Linked DNA regions of Oryzias latipes. The protein of the gene in region 1 interacts with the protein of each later gene in a biochemical or structural test. Links are inferred from orthologs where the notes say so. Each region holds a gene or a part of one and is shown in the gene's direction. Other genes may lie near its edges. The genes, in order: hadha and hadhb.

What was found.
Region 2: the proteins of hadha (region 1) and hadhb are reported together in a solved structure, tested with the Homo sapiens proteins (2 studies listed by IntAct, with this or other methods). The link is inferred for Oryzias latipes from reciprocal best matches to the Homo sapiens genes HADHA and HADHB.

What each region holds. Positions count from the first base shown.
Region 1 is NC_019880.2:962,635-966,990, forward strand, and holds the start of hadha (trifunctional enzyme subunit alpha, mitochondrial), read left to right. Parts: upstream 1-1,358; 5' UTR 1,359-1,420; coding exon 1,421-1,487; intron 1,488-2,460; coding exon 2,461-2,502; intron 2,503-2,578; coding exon 2,579-2,649; intron 2,650-2,713; coding exon 2,714-2,847; intron 2,848-2,976; coding exon 2,977-3,115; intron 3,116-3,188; coding exon 3,189-3,308; intron 3,309-3,564; coding exon 3,565-3,667; intron 3,668-3,751; coding exon 3,752-3,874; intron 3,875-3,987; coding exon 3,988-4,106; intron 4,107-4,292; coding exon 4,293-4,349; intron 4,350-4,356. UniProt on the Homo sapiens protein: Mitochondrial trifunctional enzyme catalyzes the last three of the four reactions of the mitochondrial beta-oxidation pathway.
Region 2 is NC_019882.2:19,086,784-19,090,599, reverse strand, and holds the end of hadhb (trifunctional enzyme subunit beta, mitochondrial), read left to right. Parts: intron 1-2,931; coding exon 2,932-3,096; intron 3,097-3,166; coding exon 3,167-3,202; 3' UTR 3,203-3,498; downstream 3,499-3,816. UniProt on the Homo sapiens protein: Mitochondrial trifunctional enzyme catalyzes the last three of the four reactions of the mitochondrial beta-oxidation pathway.

The sequences.
Region 1 (4,356 bases):
CTGTAAGTTGTTTTACAATACTGATGAACCGAGCAGCAGTGATCAGGCCCCGTTCTATTATAAGAGAAAACTGCTCGTCAGAACATTTGTGAAAGCTAGTGTTTTTTTTCCCATACATTTTATTTATTGACAACATATGCTGCAAAGGTGAGAATACAGCTCTGCCAAAATGGGTTTTCTGTTCCAGCCACAAGTTTGTTTCTGCCTCATGTTCTTATCAACAGTTTCCACAAATGAACCAGTTATTCAAACATTTAAACAAAAAGAGCCGTTAATGTCAACATAAGACAATTAAACTTTAGTGTCATAACATGAATGTCAAATTGGACGACTTTGAATGAAAGATCTGTCTAAATGGATGCAGACTGCCCCCTTTGGTAGCTTCCATGTACTGAATGCATGTTCCCAGTCGGGTTTATTTTAATGTCAAGTGGAAACTGTTTTTTTTGTTGTTGTTTTTTTTTTTACTTATAACGGATTCCTGCTAAATTTAGAAATGTGAGGAGGTTTCTGGAGAAGAAAATAGAAGGTCAGAAGAAGCAGATTTGTGTCTTTGTAGATTTAGAGGAAGTCTATGACGGGATCCAGAGAGGAGCTGTGGTTTGGATGAGGACGTCTGGAGTGACACAGAAGAACGATGGAGATCTTCAGGCCACGGATGAGGGCTGGAAGACAGTGGTGAGATGTTCTGTAGGGGTGACAGAGATGGGGCTGCATCAAAGGTCAGCTTGGAGCTCCTTCTTGTTTCCACTGTGATGGACAGACTGACGGATGAGGTTAGACAGGAATCTATGTGGACCATCATGTTTGCAGATGATACTGTGGAAAGGTTGGAAAGGTGGAGGAAAGTTTCATGTGTGACCAAAGAATGAAAGGAAATGTGTAGAATAGTAAATCACTGCATGGATTTTACTGCTATATTGTCAAACAGTTTAAATGTAGACAATAACAGATCATATTTTCTGATATAGTGTTATTTTTAATTTTAGGATTTTTCTAATGAAAATAATCTGCACATATTTTAGATAATTTGATTTAGTGTCTAATTATCCTAAGTTTGATACGTCTTTGTATGAATGTATGACTGCAGATTGTGTTGTTTTGTGCATTATTCTTGCTTTGATTGCTTTAAATAAACCATTTAAAATCAAAAAATCTAATTAAATATTTGAAAAAGTTGTGGGGGTGAAAAAATGTATAGAACTTCAAGAAAAGTATTACGTTTATTCTGTAAAAACGACATTCAGTGTCAAGGAATGTGTTGACCCACAACTTCCAATCAAAAACGGGGTCTTCAGAAGTAGCCAATAACAAGCCCGCATTCTCCAGTAGCGACCAATGAAATCCTAGCAGGAGAAATCCATTTCCGGAAGTGACTGAGTTTGTAGTCTTCTGCTCCACACTGACCTCCGCTCCCAACATGGCTGGTGTCCGAGCCCTTGGTGTTCTCTCCAAGCTGTCAGCGAGGAGATATGCTCTTATTTCAGGTAGAACAAACCTTTGCGGAGTTTGAACGGCGGCGAGGAGCAGGCGGGAGTTTTACTTGGTAATAGATAACGAGGTCTGCTTTAGCTTCTGTTCCCACAGAGACAACTAGCTTGTAGCTTCGCAGAAGTGAGCGCGGTGCTGTTAAGCAAACGTGTTGGTGTCGTTCAAAGAAAACGTGTCGTAAAACACTAGTTCGTGGATTTCCCTCCGAACGTAAACAGATTCCGGTTTGTTTGGTCCGTGAAGCCGCAGCGCAAACCTCCAAGTTGTGCTAATTAGCTTCCTGCTACGGAATCAATGGTGATCCGTGGCTAGGATTCAGAACCGCCTGAGCGAGCCGGTCCATTTACGGTTCTGGCTGCGGGTTTAACAGATCCGTTCTGATCTGGCGCGTGTTTAGGCAAATGTCTGAAAGTGAGGGTCATTCATCGCCATTGTGTCTGTAGGGGGGAATGTAGGTGAAGGGTCATTGTCGAGGAGAGTGCTCAGCGCATGCGCGCGAGAGGTCACGGCTGTCACACGAGGACACCTCAGTGAAACCGAACATGTTGTTAGAGTACCACAGGTGTGTTTTCGAGACAGACTGTTTTTTTTGGGAGCATTTCATAGGAAGGACTCAGATTCTCTGTGGCAGGTCTGGTTCTGGTCTGATCCAGACCCGGTTTCTTTTAAGGGTTGTTCTGGTTTGATAGCTCACCTGAACTCAGGTTCTGTTGTAGAGAGTGGGGTTTCTGTTCTGGTTCGCTTTTCTTTTCCTGCTTTTGGTCAGGTCGTGGGAAAGTAGCGCCCCCAGATGAGCAGTTTGTGGAACTGCACGGTTCTCCCAGGCGTTTTGGGCCACTCCGGTTTTCTGCTGGAAGCAAACCGAGCATGATTATCCACAGGACCGCTCCAGAGCTAAAACAGCCTAAATAAGGGAAAAGAGCTGCAGCTGTAGTCTACTAACCACTGTCACTGTGTTTTCTCTTTCAGGCAGCATCTATCGCTCATTCTCCCTGGCTCCTGCCATGCTAGGTAACTCCCCTCCTGCTGCCTTCAGGTCCCGTCGTTCTTCGGCGTTTGACCTTTTCCCCGTCTGCTCTCTTCGCAGCTCGGACCCACGTGAACTATGAGATCAAGGATGACGTGGCCGTGGTCCGAATCAACGATCCAAACTCAAAGGTGAGAACTCAAACTCGGCTGGTTTGACTCCGATGGCGTGACTTTAGCTGCGGCGCGTCTTCAGGTCAACACGCTGTCGACGCAAATGCAAAAGGACCTGACGGAAGTCATGGAGGAAGTGTGGGCCAACGACGCCGTCAAAAGTGCCGTTCTGATCTCCTCCAAGCCTGGATGTTTCATCGCTGGGGCCGATATTAAGTAAGAGTCCCTGCAGCCGAAGCTTTTGTTTGGTGTCGGCCTGCAGGCGCTTTAGCAGCTTTCCTGAGTAACCACGCTTTGTTTGGGTGTGGATCCGGTGACGAGTCTGGGAAACGTTGTGCGTTTCAGCATGATCCAGAGCTGTAAGAGCGCAGAGGAGGTCAGCAGACTGTCTCAGGAAGGCCAGAAGATGTTCGAGAAGATTGAAAAATCTCCCAAACCTGTGGTTGCTGCCATCAACGGCTCGTGTTTAGGAGGAGGCTTGGAGGTGAGTGCTTCCTGTTGTCCTGTCGGAGGTGAACTCGGCCTCGTTGTCACTGTTTGTTTGTTGTTGTTTTTAGTTTGCCATCGCCTGTCAGTACAGAATCGCAACCAAAAGCAAGAAGACAGTTCTGGGTACTCCTGAAGTCATGCTGGGCCTCTTACCTGGAGCCGGAGGCACGCAGAGACTCCCCAAGATGGTGGGTGCTCACATCAGGTGACCTGTTTGCTTAATGACATGCAGAAACATCAGCTTCACTCCCCAATCCAGCATCTCTGCCCTCCTGTTTAAGGCTGCAGAAAGGTCTAAATCTGCCTTTTAATCTGAGATTAAGGTGTTCTTTAGTCAGAAGGCCGTAATGGAATCCATCCGTGCATCAAATGCATTCCAAGTTCTTGATGGATCTGTTTTTCTCTGGCCTCCTTCGTCCCTGAACACGTCTGTCTTTGGTGCAGGTGGGTCTTCCTAACGCCTTTGACATGATGCTGACGGGAAGAAACATCAGAGCGGACAAAGCCAAGAAGATGGGGCTGGTCCACCAGCTCATAGACCCCCTGGGTAAGAAGAAACAGCTTCCAGTGACCCGCTCGCGAATATTATGGGATGTTTGGGGACTTTTCATGTTTTAATGGTCACAAACAGGACCTGGATTGAAGAGTCCAGAAGAAAGAACCATAGAATACTTGGAGGAAGTGGCTGTGGAATGTGCCAAAGGGATCGTTAACAAGAAGATCGCTCTCCACAAAGAGAAGAGCATGATGCAGAGTGAGTTCTATGGGTCTGAGCCGGTTCTCTGGGTCTGAGCGAGTTCTGTGGGTCGGACTCCCTTCAGGCTTTTCTTCTGTGTCCGTGGGATTCAAACCTGCTTGTCTTCACAGAAATCCAGGACTATGTGATGAGTTTTGAGTTTGTGAGGAACCAGATTTACAAAACGGTCCAGAGCAAAGTGATGAAGCAGAGCAAGGGGCTGTATCCGGCACCGCTGAAGATCATTGAAGTGAGTGGAACCAGAATAAAGACGGACGCCAGCGACCCTTGAATGATTCTGTCAATGAGGAAAATTTAAAGAAAATGTAAAAAAGGAATAGAATTAGCCAAAACATCCTCCATACATGAAGCTAACGCGTGCTGCAGCTGTGGTCAGAACGGTTGAATGCTAACGCTAGCCTCTGTTGGGTCTCAGTGTGTGAAGGTGGGAGTGGAACAAGGGCCAGTGGCCGGATACCTGGCTGAGTCTCAGGTACGGT
Region 2 (3,816 bases), on another chromosome or scaffold:
AGCTGCAGACTTGGGACTAGACATGAGGTTATAGCTGGAGACTTGGGAGTAGACATGACGTTATAGCTGGAGACTTGGGACTAGACATGAAGTTATAGCTGTAGACTTGGGACTAGACATGAAGTTATAGCTGGAGACTTGGGACTAGACATGAGGTTATAGTTGTAGACCTGGGACTAGACATGAGGTTATAGTTGTAGACCTGGGACTAGACATGAGGTTATAGCTGTAGAAATGGGACTATAAATGATGTTATAGCTGCAGACTTGGGACTAGGCATGAGGTTACATCTGTATACTTGGGACTAGACATGAAGTTATAGCTGGAGACTTCGGACTAGACGAGTTGCAGCTGTAGACTTGGGACTAGACATAAGGTTATAGCTGTAGACATGGGACTAGACATGACGTTATAACTGTAAACTTGGGACTAGACGAGTTACAGCTGTAGACTTGGGACTAGACATGAGGTTATAGCTGGAGATTTGGGACTAGACATGACGTTATAGCTGGAGACTTGGGACTAGACATGACGTTATAGCTGGAGACTTGGGACTAGATATGAGGTTATAGCTGTAGACTTGGGACTAAACGTAAAGTTATAGCCATAGACTTGGGACTAGAAATGAAATTATAGCTGGAGACTTGGGACTAGATCAGTTACAGCTGTAGACTTGTAACTAGACATGAAGTTAAAGCTGTAGACTTGGGACTAGACATGAAGTTATAGCTGGAGATTAGGGACAAGACGAGTTATAGCTGGAGACTTGGGACTAGATCAGTTACAGCTGTAGACTTGTAACTAGACATGATCTTATAGCTGTAGACTTGGGACTAGACATGAGGTCATAGCTGTAGACTTGGGACTAGATATGAGGTTATAGCTGTAGAAATTGGACTATAAATGATGTTATAGCTGCAGACGTGGGACTAGGCATGAGGTTACATCTGTATACTTGGGACTAGACATGAAGTTATAGCTGGAGACTTGGGACTAGACGAGTTGCAGCTGTAGACTTGGGACTAGACATAAGGTTATAGCTGTAGACTTGGGACTAGACATGACGTTATAACTGTCAACTTGGGACTAGACGAGTTACAGCTGTAGACTTGGGACTAGACATGAGGTTATAGCTGTCGAAATGGGATTTTAAATGAAATTATAGCTGTAGACTTGGGACTAAACGTAAAGTTATAGCCATAGACTTGGGACTAGAAATGAAATTATAGCTGGAGACTTGGGACTAGATCAGTTACAGCTGTAGACTTGTAACTAGACATGATCTTATAGCTGTAGACTTGGGACTAGACATGAGGTCATAGCTGTAGACTTGGGACTAGATATGAGGTTATAGCTGTAGAAATTGGACTATAAATGATGTTATAGCTGCAGACGTGGGACTAGGCATGAGGTTACATCTGTATACTTGGGACTAGACATGAAGTTATAGCTGGAGACTTGGGACTAGACGAGTTGCAGCTGTAGACTTGGGACTAGACATAAGGTTATAGCTGTAGACTTGGGACTAGACATGACGTTATAACTGTCAACTTGGGACTAGACGAGTTACAGCTGTAGACTTGGGACTAGACATGAGGTTATAGCTGTCGAAATGGGATTTTAAATGAAATTATAGCTGTAGACTTGGGACTAGACAGGAAATTGCCTTACCTTAATCCAGTGCTTCTCAATTATTTTTTGCCAGGCCCCCCCTAGGAAAAGAAAATGTTTCGCGCCCCCCCTGACCCCCCCCCCCCCATAACCCCCCCCCCCACACACACACACAGACACACTCGCGCGGTGACAATACATCAGGTCAGTATCTATAAAATTTGTATACCTAAAATTGTATCTTTTAACACTAACAAAAGAAAAAAGCAAAATAAATCCACTTTCAACAAATATTAACTTTATTTAGCCACAGAAACCCTGTTCTAGTCTAAAACAGAAAAGAAGCTGAAAGTACCTGAAATAAAAAAAATCTGTCATTCCTTATTTAAACTAGAAACATTTTGACCAACTGAACCATTTGATGCTGAAAAAAATAATTCAATCAATAAATAATATTAAATCTAAATTGATCTGAAACATTAACACAGCAGCACCAATATATTTAACGTTTTTAGTCTGAAGAAATAGGTAAAAACGTGCTGATTTTTTTTTTCTAAATGACGGATTGTTTATTTCTGATCTCATAAAAGTGCAGCTGTTTTCCTGCATTACCTGCTGTCTTTATGTCTGTCTGACACTAACTAAACCACAGGCAGACAAAGAAAACATGGATGGAAAATAAAGACACGTCATCAAAATGTCTACAATAGTTCATAAAGAATGACATTGTTAGCATGAGCTTAGGAATCTAAGGGCAGCGGTGATCTTGGGCAACAGGCAGCGGTAGCAGTGGTCCGCGTGCCCCGATTCCCCTGGCAGACAGGGCCCACACCACCCCTCCCCTTTCGTTCTCACTCGCGCAGCCGCGGACAGACAGAACAGACAATAGGAACCGAATAGTGGACCAGATTATTTTCCAAGCACTGAGCCGCTGTCACCGCTGCCCCCACGTTAAATTTGCGCACCGGACAAACCTGTGCCTAAAACCGCCACCACCGCGCGCCCCCCCTGGCATCGCTTCGTGCCCCCCCCTGGGGGCGCGCCCCACTATTTGAGAAGCACTGCCTTAATCGGACGGGGATGTAGAAGGATGTGAATGTTTGTAAATGAAGTGCTGTAGACTTGGGACTAGACATGAAGTCACACCTTAAGACTTGACCAGAGCTTTAGAAAAGGGGACTTGTGAGCATCTGCCAGCAGAACAGAAGAAGTCTTTTTTATTTTTATTTCCATGCCTCTAAGTCTGATTGTCAGAAATCAAGACACTTTCTAATGTTAAATCCTCATCTCGGTCTGATGTCTGTGTCTTGGTGTTTGCAGGTTGGGGCTCCTCCCATGGAGAAGTTCAACACGTGGGGGGGCTCTCTGTCTCTGGGACACCCCTTCGGTGCCACCGGCTGCAGGCTGGTGACCACAGTGGCTCATCGACTGAAGAGGGAGGGGGGGCAGTACGGGCTGGTGGCAGCCTGTGCCGCAGGAGGACAGGTAACTAGGAAACACCTTCTTTTTTTCTTAAGCTTCAGGATGTCTGTCTCACGTCTTTCTTGGATTTCAGGGTCACGCCATGGTGGTGGAGGCTTATCCACAATAACTCTGTTAGATCTTCATCCTCGTCACGCCTGCAGTCCATGCTGACTAACATGTTTGTAGACGCTGGAGGGTCCACAAACGCACCGCCTTGCCTTGATCGGACGGGGATGTAGAAGGATGTGAATGTTTGTAAATGAAATGCTGTTAGGAGGTTGAAGAAAGTGCAGAAGATTGACTTGATGAACTTCCTGTCTGCAGTTTAATATTACCATGGTGACTCTAATGTTTATAAATGCTGTAATATTTTTTTTTGTTACAAATGAAATGGTGTCAAAATAAAAATAATTGGAACAACGTTTCTGGATCTGCTGCCTTTATACTTCTTTCAGAATTTTCTCGGTCCTCCACTTGCTACCAGTATGAAAGCCACCTGTCCACATCCTTAAAGAGTGTGTAACCTCTCCACCAAGGCCAAAGAGCTGTCAAAGGATACTAAGGAGGATTACACTGCATTCCAAATTATTATGCGAATTGTATTGTCAAAATAACAAAATTCTTTAATTAAACTCACGGATAATTTTTTGTCTCTGGGCTCTTTGGGTCACTGACAACAGACACCTGTCATAATTAGCTTGTCAGGTGAGTTTAATTCAAAGAAAAACAACTAAAGTAAGA